Linked DNA regions of Drosophila melanogaster. The protein of the gene in region 3 interacts with the protein of the main gene of each other region in a biochemical or structural test. Each region holds a gene or a part of one and is shown on either strand. Other genes may lie near its edges.

What was found.
Region 1: the proteins of Fancl (region 3) and FANCI form a complex in vitro, tested with the Drosophila melanogaster proteins (one study listed by BioGRID).
Region 2: the proteins of Fancl (region 3) and Fancd2 form a complex in vitro, tested with the Drosophila melanogaster proteins (one study listed by BioGRID).

The regions. Positions count from the first base shown.
Region 1 is NT_033778.4:8,933,964-8,941,511, forward strand, and holds FANCI (fanconi anemia complementation group I), read right to left. Parts: upstream 5,827-7,548; 5' UTR 5,791-5,826; coding exon 5,719-5,790; intron 5,661-5,718; coding exon 5,206-5,660; intron 5,146-5,205; coding exon 4,910-5,145; intron 4,851-4,909; coding exon 4,741-4,850; intron 4,686-4,740; coding exon 4,235-4,685; intron 4,179-4,234; coding exon 4,090-4,178; intron 4,032-4,089; coding exon 3,919-4,031; intron 3,857-3,918; coding exon 3,591-3,856; intron 3,539-3,590; coding exon 3,195-3,538; intron 3,141-3,194; coding exon 2,800-3,140; intron 2,739-2,799; coding exon 2,407-2,738; intron 2,350-2,406; coding exon 1,578-2,349; intron 1,519-1,577; coding exon 654-1,518; 3' UTR 613-653; downstream 1-612. Other genes in the region: CG13748 (uncharacterized protein), read left to right, coding at 6,506-6,847.
Region 2 is NT_033777.3:20,810,187-20,817,977, reverse strand, and holds Fancd2 (Fancd2), read left to right. Parts: upstream 1-1,787; 5' UTR 1,788-1,884; coding exon 1,885-1,959; intron 1,960-2,025; coding exon 2,026-2,780; intron 2,781-2,885; coding exon 2,886-3,027; intron 3,028-3,083; coding exon 3,084-3,152; intron 3,153-3,206; coding exon 3,207-3,397; intron 3,398-3,453; coding exon 3,454-3,526; intron 3,527-3,587; coding exon 3,588-3,757; intron 3,758-3,824; coding exon 3,825-4,312; intron 4,313-4,366; coding exon 4,367-4,565; intron 4,566-4,618; coding exon 4,619-4,741; intron 4,742-4,801; coding exon 4,802-5,829; intron 5,830-5,885; coding exon 5,886-6,110; intron 6,111-6,165; coding exon 6,166-6,385; intron 6,386-6,442; coding exon 6,443-7,121; 3' UTR 7,122-7,174; downstream 7,175-7,791. Other genes in the region: CG17270 (uncharacterized protein), read left to right, coding at 178-338, 393-483, 551-669, 764-900. UniProt on the Drosophila melanogaster protein: Required for maintenance of chromosomal stability. Together with Fancl, and probably Fanci, involved in DNA repair of damage caused by agents that induce interstrand cross-links but not agents that cause double strand breaks.
Region 3 is NT_033777.3:10,050,952-10,054,564, forward strand, and holds Fancl (fancl), read right to left. Parts: upstream 1,919-3,613; 5' UTR 1,856-1,918; coding exon 1,745-1,855; intron 1,688-1,744; coding exon 692-1,687; intron 635-691; coding exon 596-634; 3' UTR 557-595; downstream 1-556. Other genes in the region: ohgt (ohgata), read left to right, coding at 63-370; Npc2e (Niemann-Pick type C-2e), read left to right, coding at 2,447-2,513, 2,812-2,919, 2,978-3,309. UniProt on the Drosophila melanogaster protein: Ubiquitin ligase protein that mediates monoubiquitination of Fancd2. Ubiquitination of Fancd2 is stimulated by ionising radiation.

The DNA.
Region 1 (7,548 bases), on a different chromosome or scaffold from region 3:
AAGGAGCAGACGTAGTCCTCAGTTCCATGTGGAGCGTCCTGGTCGCACTGTGGATGTGGGTTCCGGAGGATTTTTTGTCCAAAGGGGCAGGCGTAGTCCCCAGTTTCCTGTGGAGCGACCTTGGCAAAGGGCTTTGAAGGACTGATTGTTGAAAGGGACAGCCGCAGCATCAAAGATGGCCGCGTCCAGGGAGAAAACTTCGTGGCTCGTGACGATCAAGCAGGAATTTGGGATGATAGTGTGTCGGTGTGGAAGCGTCCGGATGGACGAACTGTCTCGGTGGGCAATGACGGAAGTGTTATTGTTTCTGGACATGGGCACACGCTGCAAGTGAGTACATTGTTTAATTTATCAAGTTTCGCTTATGAATATACTTATATATATTTTTTATTTGCAGTACTAATAAATAATGGGAAGCAGCCTTTTAATTTACAGAGATTAGGTAGCTAAAATTCCAATGATATTAAATGAACAAGATTCACAAAAACATTGAACAATTTTTCTTTTTGAACATGTGGAAATTCTAGAAAACAGCAATACAGCACATAATGAAAATTAAGTAATTGCGATAATCGCAACCATTTTTGAATAAGCAATGGACTGGCATGATTTAAATACATATACTTTTTAATATACTTTTTTTTAACAAAACATCATTTCCTTAATGTACGAGGTATTCCCAGTCTACGACTAGGTTGTGGTTTCTTCTTCTCAGCGGGCACTTCGGGAACGCAAAGATCCACTTTGGCTGGCTCCGCTGTTTGCTTATCCGCTGGACCTTTTGACCTTTTACTGGTACGACTCTCATGGGATGGCTGCTCCTCGGGTTTTTTAATGGCCACACTCCTTTTGGTTTTTGGCTCCACTTTTTTGTTTCGCCTTAATTTTAAAGTCGTTTCAGGCTGCTCTTCCTCGACTTGCTCTTCATCTTCAGCTTCCAGCTGTTCTGCAGCTTTGCGGCCTCTTTTTCGTTTGGGTTGTGGATCCTCTGCTTCACTGCTAGGTGCACGCCTCCTGCGCCTTTCTTCCTTCTTCTCTATGACTAAGCATTCATCTTCCTTCTCCTCCAAGTCCTCTGGATACGTGGTGGACTGTGCGTCATCGTCTTCCTCTACATTCTCATTTTCATCCTCATCCTCATCCCGATCCTCAGCATTACTGTCTTCGGTAGAAATGTTGCGGCCATCCGAGATACTACGCTCTATAGCTGCCCTCAAATCCGTCGACTTGATATCGAAGTCGCGCATGGTTCCCAAGTGGAGGTAGTCCGTAAGTCTATTCTTGCTTTTGGTCTTTTTGGACAGGAGAATAATGTGCTTATTGAAGTCCTCGATAACCATTATAACCTTGGGAATTAGCCGAGTCTCTCTCAGAACTTTAGCACGTTCTGCCTGGACCTTCCGCTTTTTTGTATGCTGCTGCGCTTCCTCATCCAGGGTATTAGCTTCTATGTACGTGATGAGCTCGTAAATATTCGCCGGAAGTTGTTTACCAACTGCACGTAGCAGAAGTTCAAATCTGTTGGAGAATAAAATGCAGATTAGATATCCATTAAATCTACGACTAGATGGACTCACTTGGTGCTTTTAATGTTCTCAATGGACGTATCTGATGTGTAGCTCGATATGTAGTGCTTGGTCAGGCTTTTCAAACAAGTGTAGTGCTGAATCAACAACTTCATAAGACCGTCCATCAAAGAACCTAGAGGAATACAAACGTTTGTGAGCACCAGCAAAGTGCGACTTATGTGGATTATTTGTGTGCAAATGGAACGATCCATGGAATCCAGGTTGCCCCGCCAATATATCTGGTCAATTTCGGGAACCACTTGGCATTTGTAGTTTAGATTGTTGGCTTTCGTCACAAAGTAGTCCACATCGTTCAGCTGCTTTTGGATGGCAGCATACAGATGCTGTAGGCAACTCTCGATGGTCACTGTACTTATGGACTTTAGAGTTAGCTCCACAGATTCTGAGGGAGCGTCTTCATTTTGTACGCCCAGTACGTGACCCAATTGCCGAGCAACACTGTCGAAGAAGGGACCTAAGTGGGTCTTTTGACGCTGAACGAATAGCATTCTGTGCACCAGGCCCATTTCACTGTTGAGAATCTCGTTTTTGCTGCAAAAATTTAGCAGCCAAGTGTACGATTCGGTGGCAGCACGATCCTGGTAGTCAATGTGATCCAAAAGAATTTCAAGCGACTCCAAGAGGTAAACAGGCAATTTGGAAACGAACTCATTTTTACAAATCGAATCATCAGTGCCGTACTCCGTCATAAAGTCGTCTAAAACATCCTGAATTGTGTAAACCACTTCCTTGTTTCTGCTTCCCTTTATAGATGCCAAATCTAAAAGTTTTACCATAGTTTAGATTATCCTCATATACTTAGCATGACTTAACTTACCAAATGACTTGACAAAATCTTCGAACTTCTTTGAGTACGTTTCATGAGCTGTTTTTAGGCATTCAGAAAAACACTGAGTGGCTAGGGCGGCGCTCTGCATGTCGAAATTTTTCCACAGCTCCGGCAAGCGTTGAATGCAGCGCTCGTAAATGACCTTTGTAATGTCCGTCAATTGCTTAAAGGTGCGTTTACTGTAGGCCAACTGCTTATAATCGGGCTCCAGGCGTATAGACTCCACTCTGCTGGCCGTTACGGATAAAACATACCGGACGAGGGGCTCGTTGGAGCGCAAGAGCACTGTTTTTTCTGGAGCAGCAAAGGCTACGACGTCACTAAATGGAAAATTGAAAACAGTTTTAAGAAGTAGAAAGGATTAACGTCAAGGTTACTAACTCAAGAAGTAGATGGAGCAGCTTATCCAATATGGCCAAGTCCCAAATATTATCAGGCTGTGTACACATGGTCTTCACCGGGACGCCGTTCAGTGTCAAATTGCACGTTGATGTGCTATTATTCTTGGCGGTTTGCTTCAACTGTTTATGGGCTTTCTTGGATGCATCCGATAATGCCTTAAGACTCTCCAAAAGCTTACAATGCTGATTAAAAAGAGGCAATATTTGACAAACAGCATTGTTTTGTGGCTTGGATTTGAGCAATAAGTGGCAAATAATTCCTTCAATGATATTCAGTTGCTGCAGAACGAGGGCACATTTTAGATGTGTGGCTGGCGGCGTCTGAAATCAGTTGGCATTAGTTTATTGAAATTTAAAAGTAATAATCTTGCTCACTATCTCTTCCAGGGGTAATCTGTTTGCCACCATACGATCCACACAGAAACTCATGAGCCGATTCATCTCACGAGTGTCGTAGCCCGATGGAGCTCGATCGAAAACAGCCAAGCAGTTGGCCACGAACTGAATCAACTTGCCCAGGTTGTCTTTAAGCTGAATCTCCATGTGTTGATCATCGCTAGAGCTAACCAATTGATCGTAGCGAATGCGGAATACTGTGTCTAGATCGTCACCAGCATCCTCTGCAGAGGGGGTGTCGAAGAAGCTGCGAAAGTGCCAGTCAATGACTTGCAGCACATGTGGCACTAGTTTAGCATTGAGCTCCACTGCTCTCTGAAGATCTATTTGAAATGCATTATTAGAAGTTGTATTATTTGATTTCATTCGACTCACTTTCATACAGGGAGCACCGTATATCGAATTGTTGTTGCAAGCAGTTTCGCAACATTCCAATAATTTCCAACGTGAGCATGTCGAAATTTCTTTGAGGATTACTACGACTTCCCAGTGTGTTCTGGGTCATTATGGAGTAGCCAGAGATACTGTGTTGAGTGCAGAAACTGGTGGCGCTGGAGGTCTGGCGCACAGCATTGCTGTTGTTTAGTTGTTTGAGGATCATGCAGAACCCATAAATCGCCATTCGCCGTTTTTGAATTCCACTAAAATATAAAGTGCAGAATAAAAAGTAAATACAGTACCACGAACAGGTAATTAGACCCACCTCGAGCTCATTGCTTTGCAAAGTACATCAATTAGCGCATCACGGACGCGATTAGAGATCTTTAGCAAAGGTAGAATAAAGTTCATCATGCGCATGGACTGCTCACCAGACAGCTAAAATATTTACAACGGAGTTAGCTTAAAGAACAATTATGCCATTGGACTAACTTGCCCATTGCATGTGCTCCAAAACAGATTGAATTGGTTTCATGCACTCGGAGACCGTATACGTATCAGCCACACTTAGAAGTGTGAGGCATTCTGCAAATATGTATTCTTGTTGCATAGAATTATTAAGAACATTTTGCTTGACCTACCCGAGAACTGATTTTGTTCCTGGTATACTATCATCCACTCTGAAATAAGCTTTATGATGCCTTGTCCAAAAATGAATCGCTTGCGAATGAACTTGGTTAGAAATGTGATGGCCAATGTGTGCATCTTGGGCGATTGCGATTTCAGCAAGTAAAATACGAGATGAACCAGCCCAGGAGTTATCACATCCTTGCCGTCTTTGTTCTGATCAATGAGCACCGTGAGGACCTGCTGCAAATCGACTTGCTTGCGTTGCAATGTATCCCGATACCACACGGAGTAGTCGGCTAACGTTCGCTCTTCCTCGTTGTTTTTGATCACATTGCGCAAAAAAGGTAGCAAAATGGAATGAGATATTCTAGCGGACTCTGGATCGCGATTAATGCTGGTCATCGAGATAATGGCGCTAAGCATAAACGGAGTTAGGATCACATCGGGCATGTGCAGAAAGTTCTGAAACATGGTTAGTTAAGTTACTAAGCGATCGATTGATTTGGGACCTGCTTACTCTCAGCATTATGGCCAAATGTTTTTCAGTAAGTTTGTACATAGTACAGTAGTTCAAGTGATGCAGGATAGTCTCTTCGGCCTCCCTTAGTTCCTTGTCCGAGAACAAGTCTAAAGATCAGATGCTGTCAATTTCTAGGAATATAGTCTTCTATATGGTGCAGGCTCACCAATGCTATCCAAGTTCGTTGAGTTGCTACACATGTCTGAGAAGAGCCGCTTGTAGTAGTTGCGATGGAAATACTTCTCCAGGGCCAGCAACGGAATGATCAACTGGGAAGCAGTGCTGCACATCGAAAAGAGCTGGAAGCACAGCGCTGGGAGTTCCATGGGAGATAGCTCCTGCAGGGCGCCAGAGAATTTGTTGAGTACTGTCACAATTTCGCCACTGCTAAGATTCATGGTCCTAGGGGGATTGTATGAGTTGTGTGGTTAAATTGTGGTTAATTTAAGGGTGGTCACCCACTTGAACATGTCGGCAATTGGCGTGAGGATTGAGGCTGGCCATTGCATGGTGGCAATGCTCCTTACGGTAGTGTCCCTGAACTCCATTCCATCTATGGATATGCCGTTCAGAAGAAACCGCGGTCTGGCCAAAAGCAGCGACAGCGCGTCCGGCAGCAAATCCTTCCAGCCGACGCACTTGGCGTCTCCTTGTCGGATCCCGTCCATGCAGTGCTCCACGATCCAGGCCAGCTGCTCGGACGGAAAGGTGGCCAGGTCCTGCGACAGGCGCGTGATCAGATCGAAAGTCTGTTTGTAGCTCAGTTCCGTGCTGCTCAGTCCGTCCATGAAGCTGCGGACACATTCGAATCGCTTGGCTAGCGCATCCTTGCTCTCCGGATTGAAGCCACGGAGAAGGTAGTTCCAATACGTTATGCCCTCGCTGCGTGTCATTGTGGATTTAAGGGTTTCCTTTAACTATCAAGCAATGTTTATCAATTAAGATTTATATTGCCTTCCGCCTTATGGGTCCAACCTTTTCTATTGGAGTGTTTTGAATGAGCAGTTCCAGCTCATCAAAGCGCGCCTTCTCACCCAGACTCCGCATCCACGTTAGAATTGATTCGCGTGCCATACCCAACTAAATTTATGTAATAATTTACGATTTAAACAAAGACGCGCCAGATTTCACCAACTACCACAAATTAGGAATGGTAAATGCCTGATATGATTACCGATTGCACCACCCACTGATATCGATAGCATGCAATTGGCGGGAATTTTAAAAAAATCCATAAATAGTGATAACAGTAATCTTTTCCATAAAACATTTAATTTTCAATTTCAAAACTAAGAAATAGGCATTCTATATTTCTAATTGAAATATAAAAACTATTTCAATGAAACCCAATGGAAAATAGCTTTAAATTTGTAGTTTAAGAAAAAATTTATTTGTCTACTCCATATAGAAAATCAAACAGGTTGTTTTTCCATAAAATAACAAAAACAAAAAATATGGTTGTATGTTTTACGATGATAATGCTCACAACAGTAAATAAACAAAAGTAGTTATATCTACACTTGGATTTTCAGTACAAAAGCGGACTCTTCGAAAGAGTAACCAAAGAGCGTTGGAGTCGAACGGAAAGCTCTGCTGGCTCTTAGATGGGAGTATTGTCTAGTATTCGCTTCCCTTCGCCCGCTTCGGACTACAAAGTGGCACCATATAAATCCAAAAGCTGGACTGCAGCGCCAACAGTTGCGTGAAGACAATCGCCAAGTGATCAAGTGAATTAAATACGAAGCTAAATCAAGTACACAAAATGCGCGGACAACTGAAAGAGTACGTTGGAGTGGCAGTGGTGCTGATCCTGCTGGCGGGGATCAGATGGAGCGAGGCGTTTCCCATGGACCTCTACGACGACGTGAGCGACTTCTTTGACGCCATCTCGCTGGACGATGTGGCCAATACCGGGCGCAACACCCATCCGGAGCAGTTCTGCCTCATGCCGGCACGCAAGGGCGTCTGCCGCGCCCTGATCCCCCGTTGGCGCTACGATCCGGAGCAGAAGAAGTGCGTGGAGTTCAAGTTCGGCGGCTGTGACGGCAACGAGAACAACTTCGCCAGCTACAAGGACTGCATGTCCACCTGCGAGGGCATGTAGGGCTCTCCGCATCCGCATACGCATTCCGATCCGGATAGCGATCGGTCCTCCGCGACCGATGTGTTGCCAAAGGCGGCTGCTTCCCCTCGAGCTCTGCAATCCAGCGAACCAAAGGCAGCATTCTCCACACCCAAACTCACACACAAACATCACAATCCATGCGACTAACCGTCCCTTCTTCTACCTAATATTTATGTAGTTTCTGTCATTGAATCCATCTACTTTGTACTTTCCTGGGTGTGTCCGTCCAGCACTCACCACCCATCTAGAGCTTAAGTTATTGTGATAAAATACTTGTATGGAATAAAGAGTTTTTTATAACGACCAACTCGATGTGGTGTTCACTGATGTGGGAGAGGTCTACTGATCATCTGAAGCTCACAAATATTTCCTAGAATCTGGAAGATGCTTAAAAAATTAATACCTATAGTATACTATGTATAGTATACTATTTTGGAATCTGGAAGATGCTTAAAAAGTTAATACCTATACTATACTATGCATACTATACTATTTTAGTGCATTTTTTAGTAATCACATAACAAATTTAATAAAAGAACCCTTAAATAGCAACTATTCTTGGTAAAAACAAAACAATGCTATCTTATCCAAATTTCTAGACAATTCTAGCAACTACGAATGTTTGTTTGTTGACTTTCAATCGATTGGAGCCTGCAAAATTCCATTCAGCGATAGACAAC
Region 2 (7,791 bases), about 11 Mb from region 3:
TAATGACCATTTTGTCAAAATTTCAAATAATTTTCTAAATATATAACCCTGATATGTGTAATAAAGTCTTCAAGTTGTGTTGGACATTAGACCAATTGGTAAACCCATTCCTTAGATTAAATTATTTTCCTTTAAAGGGAGAATGGATATTAAATAACACAGAAAATTTACTTGTAGGGCTGCCATGCAGTCTGGCGGACGACCCCGCGAGCGATTGCTGTACGCCTTCCGGGGATGGATAGCATTCGTGGCCTTCATGGACCTGGGCACGGCCTTTAGGAGCTACATAGAAAGACGCAGCTTCCTGGGCGATCACAGCGACACCCAGTTCATAGAGGGTAAGTGGGGATGGATTGAGCTGCTGGAGTCGCATTTGATGGGTTCTTTCACAGGGGACTACACCATATCGCGGATCATCGGGATGTACTGCCTGCTGAAGGCCATCGCTCTCGTCCACTGCACCCTCTACATTCACTACAAGCCGTAAGTGAATCCCATATATCCTCTGGTTAGATTATCGTCACTAATGGGGATATTTCCCTACGTTTAGGGTGGTCAGCATGGGCGGCTGCTCATTGGCCCTCACCATGGTCTTCTATGCCACCGAGGCACTCTACTTTCGCTCCAGCACCATTAACTTCTACGTGATCTTCCCGTGTGTGCTAAATTGTAAGTAAACACAACTAAAATTCAGTAATAACAAATTATATCTTTTTTGTAACACCCCGAACCATTTAGTAAATTGAATCTTTCGCCTTTTTAGCTATAACTCTACTGGGCCTCATCTATATACCCAAACGACTGCGGCTCTGGGAGCCAAATATGGATCTGGATGACGAAAACTCACAGCTGCTCAAGCAAATGACGGGCTTCAAGAGACGACGAGCGAAAAAACAATAGTTTATTACTATCTAGAAATATGAAAAGCAATAACCGGAAGACACTGAGTTGAGTTTCCGTTAGCACAGTATTGTGAAAGAATCGCAAATTTCGCTTTGGACTGCATTGGTGTGATAGAATCGGCATCATGTTCATCATTATATATACTCAATAGCAATACTGAAAACAACGCCAAATTAGTGATTTTCTATGAACTAGGTAGTGAAGGGTCTAAATGGCCCCGGAATAAGTCAATTTCTGGCATAATCACTTCAAGACATACATATGTTGTACTTCCTTTTTATAAAGCGTATTTATATACATTTAAAAATGTATGGCACAATAGAGTTTTTGCACTTTTAAGAGTTGAAAATCGATACTAGGAAATATTTATCTAATTATCAGAGACATCTAGCACCCGAGTTAAATAATTAAAATCGAAAGGCTTTAAATTAACAAATAAGCTCATAATCATCTTATTTACATATACGATTATCAATTTATGGATCATGCTTCCGTATCGATCATAAAATTAAGGAACATTTTATAGTCATTACGTATGATTGAATGTTATGTAAACCTAAAAAAAAGAAAATACAATAATAGTTTTGTACGAATTATGTAGATTATGTTTCAATAAAAATTTGAATTGACGAAAGTGGATTTTTATTTAGACTTCTACACACAGTGCTCTAAAGGTCGTTTCTTCATTTATTTTGTTAGATTTTAATTAGTAATGTTAAAAAAAAATAAGTATTTCTATAAGAGTTGAATTATTAGTTAATTTTTATAATCATTTGAAAATCGTAAAATTTGTATAAGAATTGTTACGATATTCGTTATTGCGCTTAGCGAATTCACGAACCTCGACCACCGCGGCTATCGATAAAAACTGATGTCAATGCTCGGTCACACTGCACCTGCATACGCGCCATTAAATTGTTTTGTTTTTATTATTTTGTGATTTAAGATTGAAGATTGAAGCTTATAAAGCTTTCCAGTACTATGTATAAACAATTTAAAAAACGCTCAAAGAAACCTCTGAACACCATCGATGAGAACGCGACCATAAAAGTGCCGGTAAGTGGACATTCGGACCAGTCGGAATTTGGAACTCCATTTACTTGACCAAAATCTGTGTTTCAGCGCCTGGCGGAGACGACCACAAATATATCCGTTGAGTCCTCATCTGGCGGAAGCGAGGAGAACATACCCGCCTCCCAGGAGCACACGCAGCGATTTCTGTCGCAGCACAGTGTTATCCTGGCCGCCACTCTGGGTCGCACTCAATCCTCCAGCCGGAACATTGCAACGCTCTCCCGACAACCGAACAACTTTTTCGAACTGGTCCTGGTTCGAGCAGGGGTCCAGTTGGACCAGGGTGATAGCCTCATCCTGGCCTGCGATCATGTCCCCATAGTCTCCAAGCTGCGGGAAATCTTTACGAGTGCCTCCTCGTATACCGACAAAATGGAGACATTCAAGACGGGTCTGAATGCTGCAATGGCGCCTGGGTCGAAGCTGGTGCAGAAGCTCCTAACCGGCTGCACCGTGGACGCAGCTGGCGAGGAACAGATCTACCAGTCCCAGAACAGCATGTTTATGAACTTCCTCATGATCGACTTTATGCGAGATGCCTGCGTGGAGGTGCTGCTGAACAAGATCGAGGAGGTGGCCAAATCTGATCGAGTCATAATGGGCAAAGCAGCTATTCCCTTGCCACTGCTACCGCTGATGCTGACGCAACTGCGCTACTTGACCGCCTCGCACAAAGTAGAGATCTACAGTCGCATCGAGGTCATTTTCAACAGGGCTACGGAATCGGCCAAATTGGACATCATAGCCAATGCTGAGTTGATACTCGATGCCAGTATGCACGATGAGTTCGTCGAGCTGCTTAAGTAAGTAAAATTATTTAAAGCAGAGCAGAAGAATTTGTGTACTCGCTCGCTCTATGGACTATCTACGTTCTTTCTTACTAATCGTATAATTTAATTTCGTGGCAGCATCAACTATTCCAGCACTGAAGACCTCTTTCACATGACCACAGTGCAAACTCTGGGTAACTTATCGCTTTCAGACAGAACGCAGGCCAAGTTACGAGTGCGCATTTTGGACTTCGCCACAAGTGGTCAATGTTCGGATGCGGTAATTTGAAAATTAGACCGATTCTAGAATTCTATTTAAATGTTTTGTTATCTTAGATCTTGCCGCATCTCATCAGGCTGCTGCTTAACGTTCTGAAAATTGATACAGATGACAGCGTGCGCGACGTAAGGTTCTTACTCCGTTCCCTAAGCATTCGGTTTCAGTTCGTTCATTTGCAGTTGATAGGCAGCCTGCGTGGAATCTTCAACTGGCGTCACACAAATGAGACGGAAAAAATCTCGGCAAGCGAAGACAGTAAGAAGTCTCAGCTGGAACTTTTTGGCTTCCTAGAACTAGGCTTGATACGATCGAAGAAGTTTTATCAAGCGTGCCAAAGGTCATCTGCTAGTGTGCCAGCTGCCGAATTTACGTGAGTACATAGACTGGCCTATACGAATTCAAGTTTAAATAATTACATATTTGCAGCTCCTTTGACATGATACTTCTGCTTTTGTTGATACATGTTAATGAAGATAATTCATTGTACATCGAAAATATTGTAAGTATTCCTTAAAAAATAAAAAAAAAAATAAATTCATTACATTTTACTAATTCGTCAGCTTCGACGACGCATTAAACTGGAGCATATTACAGTGAGCATTTTGGAAGAGATACGACAGCACTATAGACACATCCTGGAGCAGCACATAACCACACTGATGAACATCCTTCACGACTTTATGCGAGAGAAAAATCGCATCGTGTCCGATTTCGCCAAATCTTCGTACAGGTGTGGTTACCTAAAGAACCCTAAAGAAAAATCATATTAATTTCTACTTTGTTTTTTTTTTTTGCAGTATACTTTTTAAGATTTTTAACTCGATCCAGAAAAATATTCTAAAGAAGCTGTTGGAGCTTACCTGTGACAAATCATCGCCCCACCTGACAACAATGGCACTGGAATTGCTTCGCGAGCTGCAACGAAAGAGTGCCAAGGATGTTCAGAATTGTGCAACTCTACTTATACCCATGCTGGATAGGATAAGTGATCTAAGTCTTACACAAACCCGCGTTGCTATGGACCTTCTGTGCCATGTCGCATTTCCGGATCCAAATCTATCGCCCTGCCTGCAACTCCAAGAGCAAGTCGATATGGTGGTTAAAAAGCAGCTGATCAACTCCATTGATAATATTAAAAAGCAGGGAATTATTGGCTGTGTGCAACTCATCGATGCAATGGCACGCATCGCGAACAATGGTGTTGATCGTGACGAGTTTATTGCCAGCGTGGAAAACGTCGATTCCTTGCCCGATGGCCGAGGCAAAATGGCTGCCAACTTAATCAGTAATTAAGTGCCTGACATACTTAAACGTGTATATTAATATTTTTTCCATGCAGTACGCACCGAGGCATCAATAGGAAATAGTACCGAGTCCTTAGCCCTGTTTTTTGAAGAACTGGCCACGGTTTTCAATCAGCGCAATGAAGGAACCTCCGGCTGTGAGTTGGACAACCAATTCATTGCTTGGGCCTGCGACTTAGTGACATTCCGCTTCCAGGCAAGCTTTGTCACCGAGAATGTGCCCGAGACTTTAAAGTATGTACTGACTTTTTTAAACAAGTATGTCGCTAATCAAATTTGCTTTTAAGGGGAATTAAACTGGAATATCAGTTAAATATCAATGAATTGGACGATACAGATGCAAACACTGAATCGGATGTCCTTAATATTGGCATAAATATCTCAAAACTAGTTTTATCACCCAAAGTGAAGTGAGTTTCTTATCTCATGAGTTTCATAAAGCTTTTGTATTTTAACGTACCCATTTACAGAGCTTGTGATTCTATATACGTGCTGGCTCCTCTGTTCAACTATGTCAGAGTGCTGTACAAGCACCGCCACCAAGACAGCTTGGAGAGCATCAATGCTTTACTAGGCTGTGCCATTGTGTTGCCCTCATTCTTTGAGGATGACAACTATGTGTCCGTTTTTGAAAACTTTGAGGCGGAGCAGCAAAAAGACATTTTGAGCATTTACTTTCACACCGTCAATTGGATGAGGGTGTCGATCAGTGCGTTTGCATCACAACGTGATCCTCCCACACGGCGTCGAGTTCTATCTAGACTTGGAGAACTAATTCGTATCGAGCAGAGAATGAAGCCCCTCCTGGCGAGAGCGCCCGTCGACTTCGTGGCACCGCCATATCAATTCCTCACCAACGTCAAGCTCTCGAACCAGAATCAGAAACGTCCAGGGCCTAAGCCAGCTGCCAAACTAAACGCAACTCTACCAGAACCCGATTTAACTGGTAATCAACCATCGATCGCTGACTTCACCATTAAGGTTGGCCAGTGCAAGACCGTTAAGACGAAGACTGACTTTGAGCAGATGTATGGGCCGCGGGAGAGATACAGGCCAATGGAAGTGGAAATCATCATGCTCTTGGTCGAGCAGAAGTTTGTCCTGAACCACCAGCTGGAAGAGGAGCAAATGGGGGAGTTTCTTGGTCTTCTGGAGCTACGATTCCTGCTGGAAGACGTGGTTCAAAAACTTGAAGCAGCAGTCCTTCGACATCACGATTCTTATGATGCGGACAGCTTTAGGCCGCATCTGGCCAAACCGGAGGATTTTATTTGCGATCTACTTCCATGCCTACACGAGGTGAATAATCACCTAATAACCCTGGGCGAGGCCATTGACAATCAGCTTACGGAAGTCAGTCATGTGTACAGCAATCTGGATCTGTTTAAGGATCAATTTTGCTATATCAAATCGTGCTTTGGGCTGTGCGTCCGGCTGTTTGCCTTGTACTTCGCCTGGAGCGAGTGGAGTGATAAGTCGCAGGAACAACTGCTCCATAGTAAGGTGTTTTAAATTTTACGCAAACCTTAAAATGTAACGTTACTATTTTTGCAGAGTCTTTGCTTAAGCTACAGCCTAAAACACAATGGAAGAGACTAGAGAAGCAAAGTGTTCCTCAGCTGGCCAACCTAACTTTTCAATACTTTCTAAAGTATGAGAAATCCGTCCTGAATCTTAGTACTGCAGTACATCTTCATCGATTGTTGTGTAACTTGTTAAAGCTGGGCAGTTTACAGAGCGATGCTAGCCAACCGAGATTTCAGCAAGCCGAGGACTTACGTAAGCACTAACCATGAAATATGAAGTGCAATTTTAGAATTTATTACTCATGCAGGGATACTGTGTGGCACGCTGCTGCGCCGTAAATGGTTCCACTACTCTGGCACCTTGGACAAAGGTGGTCAGTGCAATATTTATTTGGACGAGCTGGTTAAGGGATTCCTGAAAAAATCGAATGCCAAGAGTCAAACCGAACTACTTACTGAGCTGGTTAAACAATGCAGCATACTGAATACGAAGGACAAAGCACTGACATCCTTCCCCAACTTTAAAAAGTAAGAAAATCAGTTGATCCGTATTTTGTATGTTTTATTAATTCTTTCCCCTCATAGGGCCAACTTCCCACTACTCTTTCGTGGACTGTGCGAGGTGCTTATTCACTCCCTAAGTGGTCAAGTTAGCGTCGACAGCCGTGGTGATAAATTGAAGTTATGGGAGTCAGCAGTCGATTTGTTGAATGGCTTGCTCAGCATTGTGCAGCAGGTGGAACAGCCCAGAAACTTTGGGCTGTTTCTAAAACACTCCCTGCTATTCCTTAAATTGCTGCTTCAGCACGGAATGTCTGCGCTGGAATCTATTGTTCGGGAAGATCCCGAAAGGCTAACAAGGTTTTTGCACGAGCTCCAGAAGGTGACACGCTTTCTGCACCAACTCTGCTGTCATTCCAAGTCCATTAAGAATACGGCTATAATCAGCTATATTCCCAGCCTGCGGGAAACGATTGAGACGCTGGTCTTCCGAGTCAAAGCCCTGTTGGCTGCCAACAACTGTCATTCTGCTTTCCACATGGGAAATATGATCAACAGGGATCTCCACGGAGATTCTATCATAACACCCAGGAGTTCCTTCGCCGGCGAGGAAAACAGCGACGATGAATTACCTGCGGACGACACCAGCGTAGATGAAACCGTCTTGGGCGATGACATGGGCATCACCGCCGTTAGCGTGAGCACAAGGCCCAGCGATGGGAGTCGTCGGAGCAAGTCCTCCTCCCGCAGCAAATGCTTTTAAATAGCGTAATACGACTAATAAGAATTTCAAATAAATCAGTGACGTTGACGCAGAGTCATGGCGTTTTATTTGTTTAGTAGTCTAGAATTGAGCAGACGACGATGTTTGCATTCTTTATTTATTTCATTTTATTATCTGGATGCAATTTTATTTAATTTTCGTATTACAAATAATAACAAATGTATGTATATCAAATATTTTAGTACAATATGCTTCATTTCATTTATTTTCTTCGTTAACAATAATTGTTTATTAAGACGTAAAAGTTGTTCTCCCATTTTTCTCACATTCGGCCTTCCTCTACGATGAACTCTGATTGTTTATTTTTATTATTTAATTTCCATTTGTTTTTATCTCGTAATAATTGGCGACGTTACGTTCACGGTTTATGAATCCCTTTCATACGTGTGGTATGTGTATGCAAATGTTTTGTGATGTTGTATATCAATTGGTTGTTTATAAAAGGGGGTTTAAAATCAAATCAATCAAGTATAATTGTATAGGTATATGTAATTAAAAGAGCAAGAAAACACACACAAACTATAAATTTAAAGTAAAACATAAATGGTCTACGAAAGTTAATCCTAACGTGTGTGCAAGTATGCCTGAAACAGACAGATATTGTCTTAATGCAAATCAAATCGAGTGCTTTGTTTTCCCTATTTTGTGT
Region 3 (3,613 bases):
AGGAGAAGTCCAATGTCCGTCTTCTATAAGCAATGAATTCACTGAAACTAACTACTTTACAGAGGGCTACATCCACGAGACAAACACCGTGTACCGGGTGATATCCCATGCCATCGGCTACAGCGGCGAGCCGTCCACAAAGTTTAGCTGGTTCCCCGGCTATCAGTGGCACATTATTCTGTGCAAGTTCTGCGCCCAGCACGTCGGGTGGGAGTTCAAGGCCGTGCATCCCAACCTAACACCCAAGGTGTTTTTCGGTTTGGCCGGCTCCAGCGTGCGGATTGGAAAAGCCAGCGAGTACTCGCCCTTCAATGGAACCACCTATGTGGTGCGGAATATGATGCGGATGATCTCAAGCGATATGGAATGAGGCTGGCGCGTTGTGAAGCGATTTTTCAGATGTCAACTCTGCTGCTGGCGTCGTCAGGAGAATGATGCGGTCCATCAGGTGGGACCTGTTTAATTCGTTTCACAACTACTTTTAGCAAAAACACACGGCGTTTGATGGCGTGGATGTAAACCTAATTGATATTTACGATTATTTGAATAATAAGTTACTCTTAAATATTTGCTTTTAATATTATGGTTACAAATTTCAATCATTTAAAAGTGCCGCAAATGAGGTGGACAGCTTCTGAAAAAGATAAAGCAGTTGTACATTGGCAATAGATGAAATGATAGGCAATATTACCGCCTTGCAGAAGGGACACTGGCCGAAGGAGACCTCCAGAAAGGTCTTGCCATCCATCAGAGTCTTAAACCACTCCTCCAAACAGACGGCATGGCACTTTAGCACACATTTGGCATTGTCGCAGGAGACGAGGGGCACCTCGCCACCATCCAGGCGATAGGCAAAGCAAATGTTACAGCGCAGCTCTTCGTTGTCCTCTTCATCCAGCTTGGGTCCATCCGACCAGTCTGGCATGGGAAAGTAGCACAAGTCGAACATTCGGAGTAGGTTCTTGTGAATGTTCATTTCGGAGTCCCAGTTACTTAGACCATCGCTGAGAACGTGGCGCAGGCGGGCCACCTCTTCCGTGGGCCCAATGATCTTTAGCGACATGGATGCAATGCAGGCAAAGGGATCCGCGATGGTCAGCTTCAAGTAGACGCGATCCTTGAGAGGGAACAGTCGTGTTTTGTGTTTGCTGCTGATGGGCGATGGTTGCAGCACATGACAAAGCTCGTCGATATCCATGAAGTTGTCGTAGAAGGGACGCAGATCCTCGAGAAGCTTGCGAAAGAGGTTTAGGGCCTCCTCTAGGTTTCCAGCACTCTTGGTCAGCATTTCACCCAGCGATACGCAGTCGGGCAAACTGTGATCAAGCAAGAGAAGAGACGGGATCTTAAGCTCCAGATAATGCTGCTCGAAGTCGGTGAATTCGCTGAAACGAATCATGGAACAGGCCTCGTCCACTTGCAGGCAGTACTCGTTTGACTTGTACAAGGCCAGGATATCGTAATATATGTTCCCCTCCCGACATAGTTCCTTTGGCACTGTTGGGGCTTTTTGGGCAGGAAGAATCTTTGGCAAATGGTCCAGAAAATCCTCCAGCAGCCAATCGTCCTGTAACTTGAGATTAGCCGATGTGTACAGCTTGTACTCCAAGCTTTCCTGGACGTAGAGCTGGAAACCATGAAGAGCTGGGTGGTGTGGCAGATAGAGTTTAAGGCGGCGCCATGTATCCTTAATTATACAATCATTATTAGTTTGGCGGGAAAAATTGAAATACGGATAACTTACCTCACTGCCCAAAACTCCTCTGATGATGCACGCTCCACTTGGCTGAAGCTCCGCTGCCAGACCAGGATACTTTTGACACAGAAGGCGCTCTACATCTTCGTTACTTTCCATTATATTTGATTTTGGTCAGATTGTGCTTGAATGACTTTTGTTTACATTTTATGTTTTGAACGGCCATAGTTAGAGATGTGCAGTCTTCGATGACACAAAGTCTTCAATCACGATCGATAGGAAATTAATCGGCCGCTTTTTTAAATTTGATTGCTCGATCAAACCTTAAATTATATGTTTATTAACCCTTCGAGCCAATATTCCGCCTTGCTTACATATTCACCCTCTGGCTGTTTTGTTTACTAGGTATAGCCGGCAACATTGTAGTTCAGCCTCTCCCTACTTATCAGCCAAATTTACGTTATTTACTGATTCGAATCGGCATTGTTTGCTCTTCGTCAGAGCGCAACACCTGCAGGCCACAGTGGTTTTCTTTTGTAACACCTGCGTGGCGGCCCCGTATCAATGGCAATAGCCACCGATTTTGATAAACTGCTCTCTACAGGCGTTGGTCATCGTTCGAACACGGGGCTATTTAAGGTTCTCCACCAGCCCCATCGATTCCACTCACGATTGTCATCTGCGTGCGCGCGTACTCAATGTATATTGTATTCTTCTGAAGTAAGATTAAAAAAGATTCCATCCAGAAAAATGCTGCGAATCGTTGTAACTTTGGCTCTAATTCTGGCCACAGTCAATGCCACCAATGTCCAGCAGTGTAAGTAGCTAAAAACTCTTTTATTTTGTTGGAAAAACATCAAATCATTTTAAATCGACCAGTTTGTTAGATTGGATTCATGATTCTAACAGATTTCTATGACGATGATTCACTTCGCAGACTTTGTCTCGAAAACTATTGCCAAAAATACGTTCTGAGAGAAATTTAAAGTCCTAACGTGTATCTGTTGGCCAGGTTGATATGGCTTATCAACAAACAGCTAATCTCTTAGAAAAAAAAACATAGCCTTCTTTTGAGCTCACCTTTTGATTCTTCGAAAACATATTTCCGCTTTCAGGCAAAAATAAGCCGTTTCCACTGGATGTGAATATTAAGGATTGCGAGGAACCGCCGTGCGTTGTGTACAAAGGAACCATAGCAGTCATGGAGGTGCACTTCCTGGGCAGTAAGTTTCGGCCATCTATATCCGTGTCCACTTGAATCTCATCATCGATGTCTTGCAGATAACAACAATATCAAGAGCATTACGGCCACCACAACGGCAAAGGTTTTGGGCATGAATCTGCCATATGCCCTACCCGACGAAGTGTCCGATGTGTGCCGCAATCTCCTGTACGGTGCCATCTGTCCCATCGACAAGGACGAGGATGTCACGTATCAGTTCAACTTCTATGTGGAGCCTTCGTTCCCGGAAATAACGGCGGATGTCACTGTCACGTTGAACGATGCGCAGAACGAACCGATCACCTGCTTCGTCGTGAGCTGTAAAATCCGGAAGGGAGCCACTGCAGCACAGATGGACGGATATCTGTTGGACTGGACGAACCCCCTTTAAGCCGACGATGTACGCAACTCCAGCCGTTTCGGCCGACTGAATATTTCCACTTGTTTGCCAAATAATAAACCACAAAACTCTTGCACAGATAAGACCATTTGTTTACCTTGGCTACGTCACGAATTCCAGTGTACTCAGTGCACAATCAGGCTGAAGATTAACACATTTCTGGGCACCGCCGATTAGATATTCAAGCGTATTTATTTATATACAGTCATTTGTGACGTTCCTTTTTGCACCGAAAGTCTATTAATTTATTTCCACTGATTCAGTGGCACAATTGGCTAATAAAATCGTCGTGATA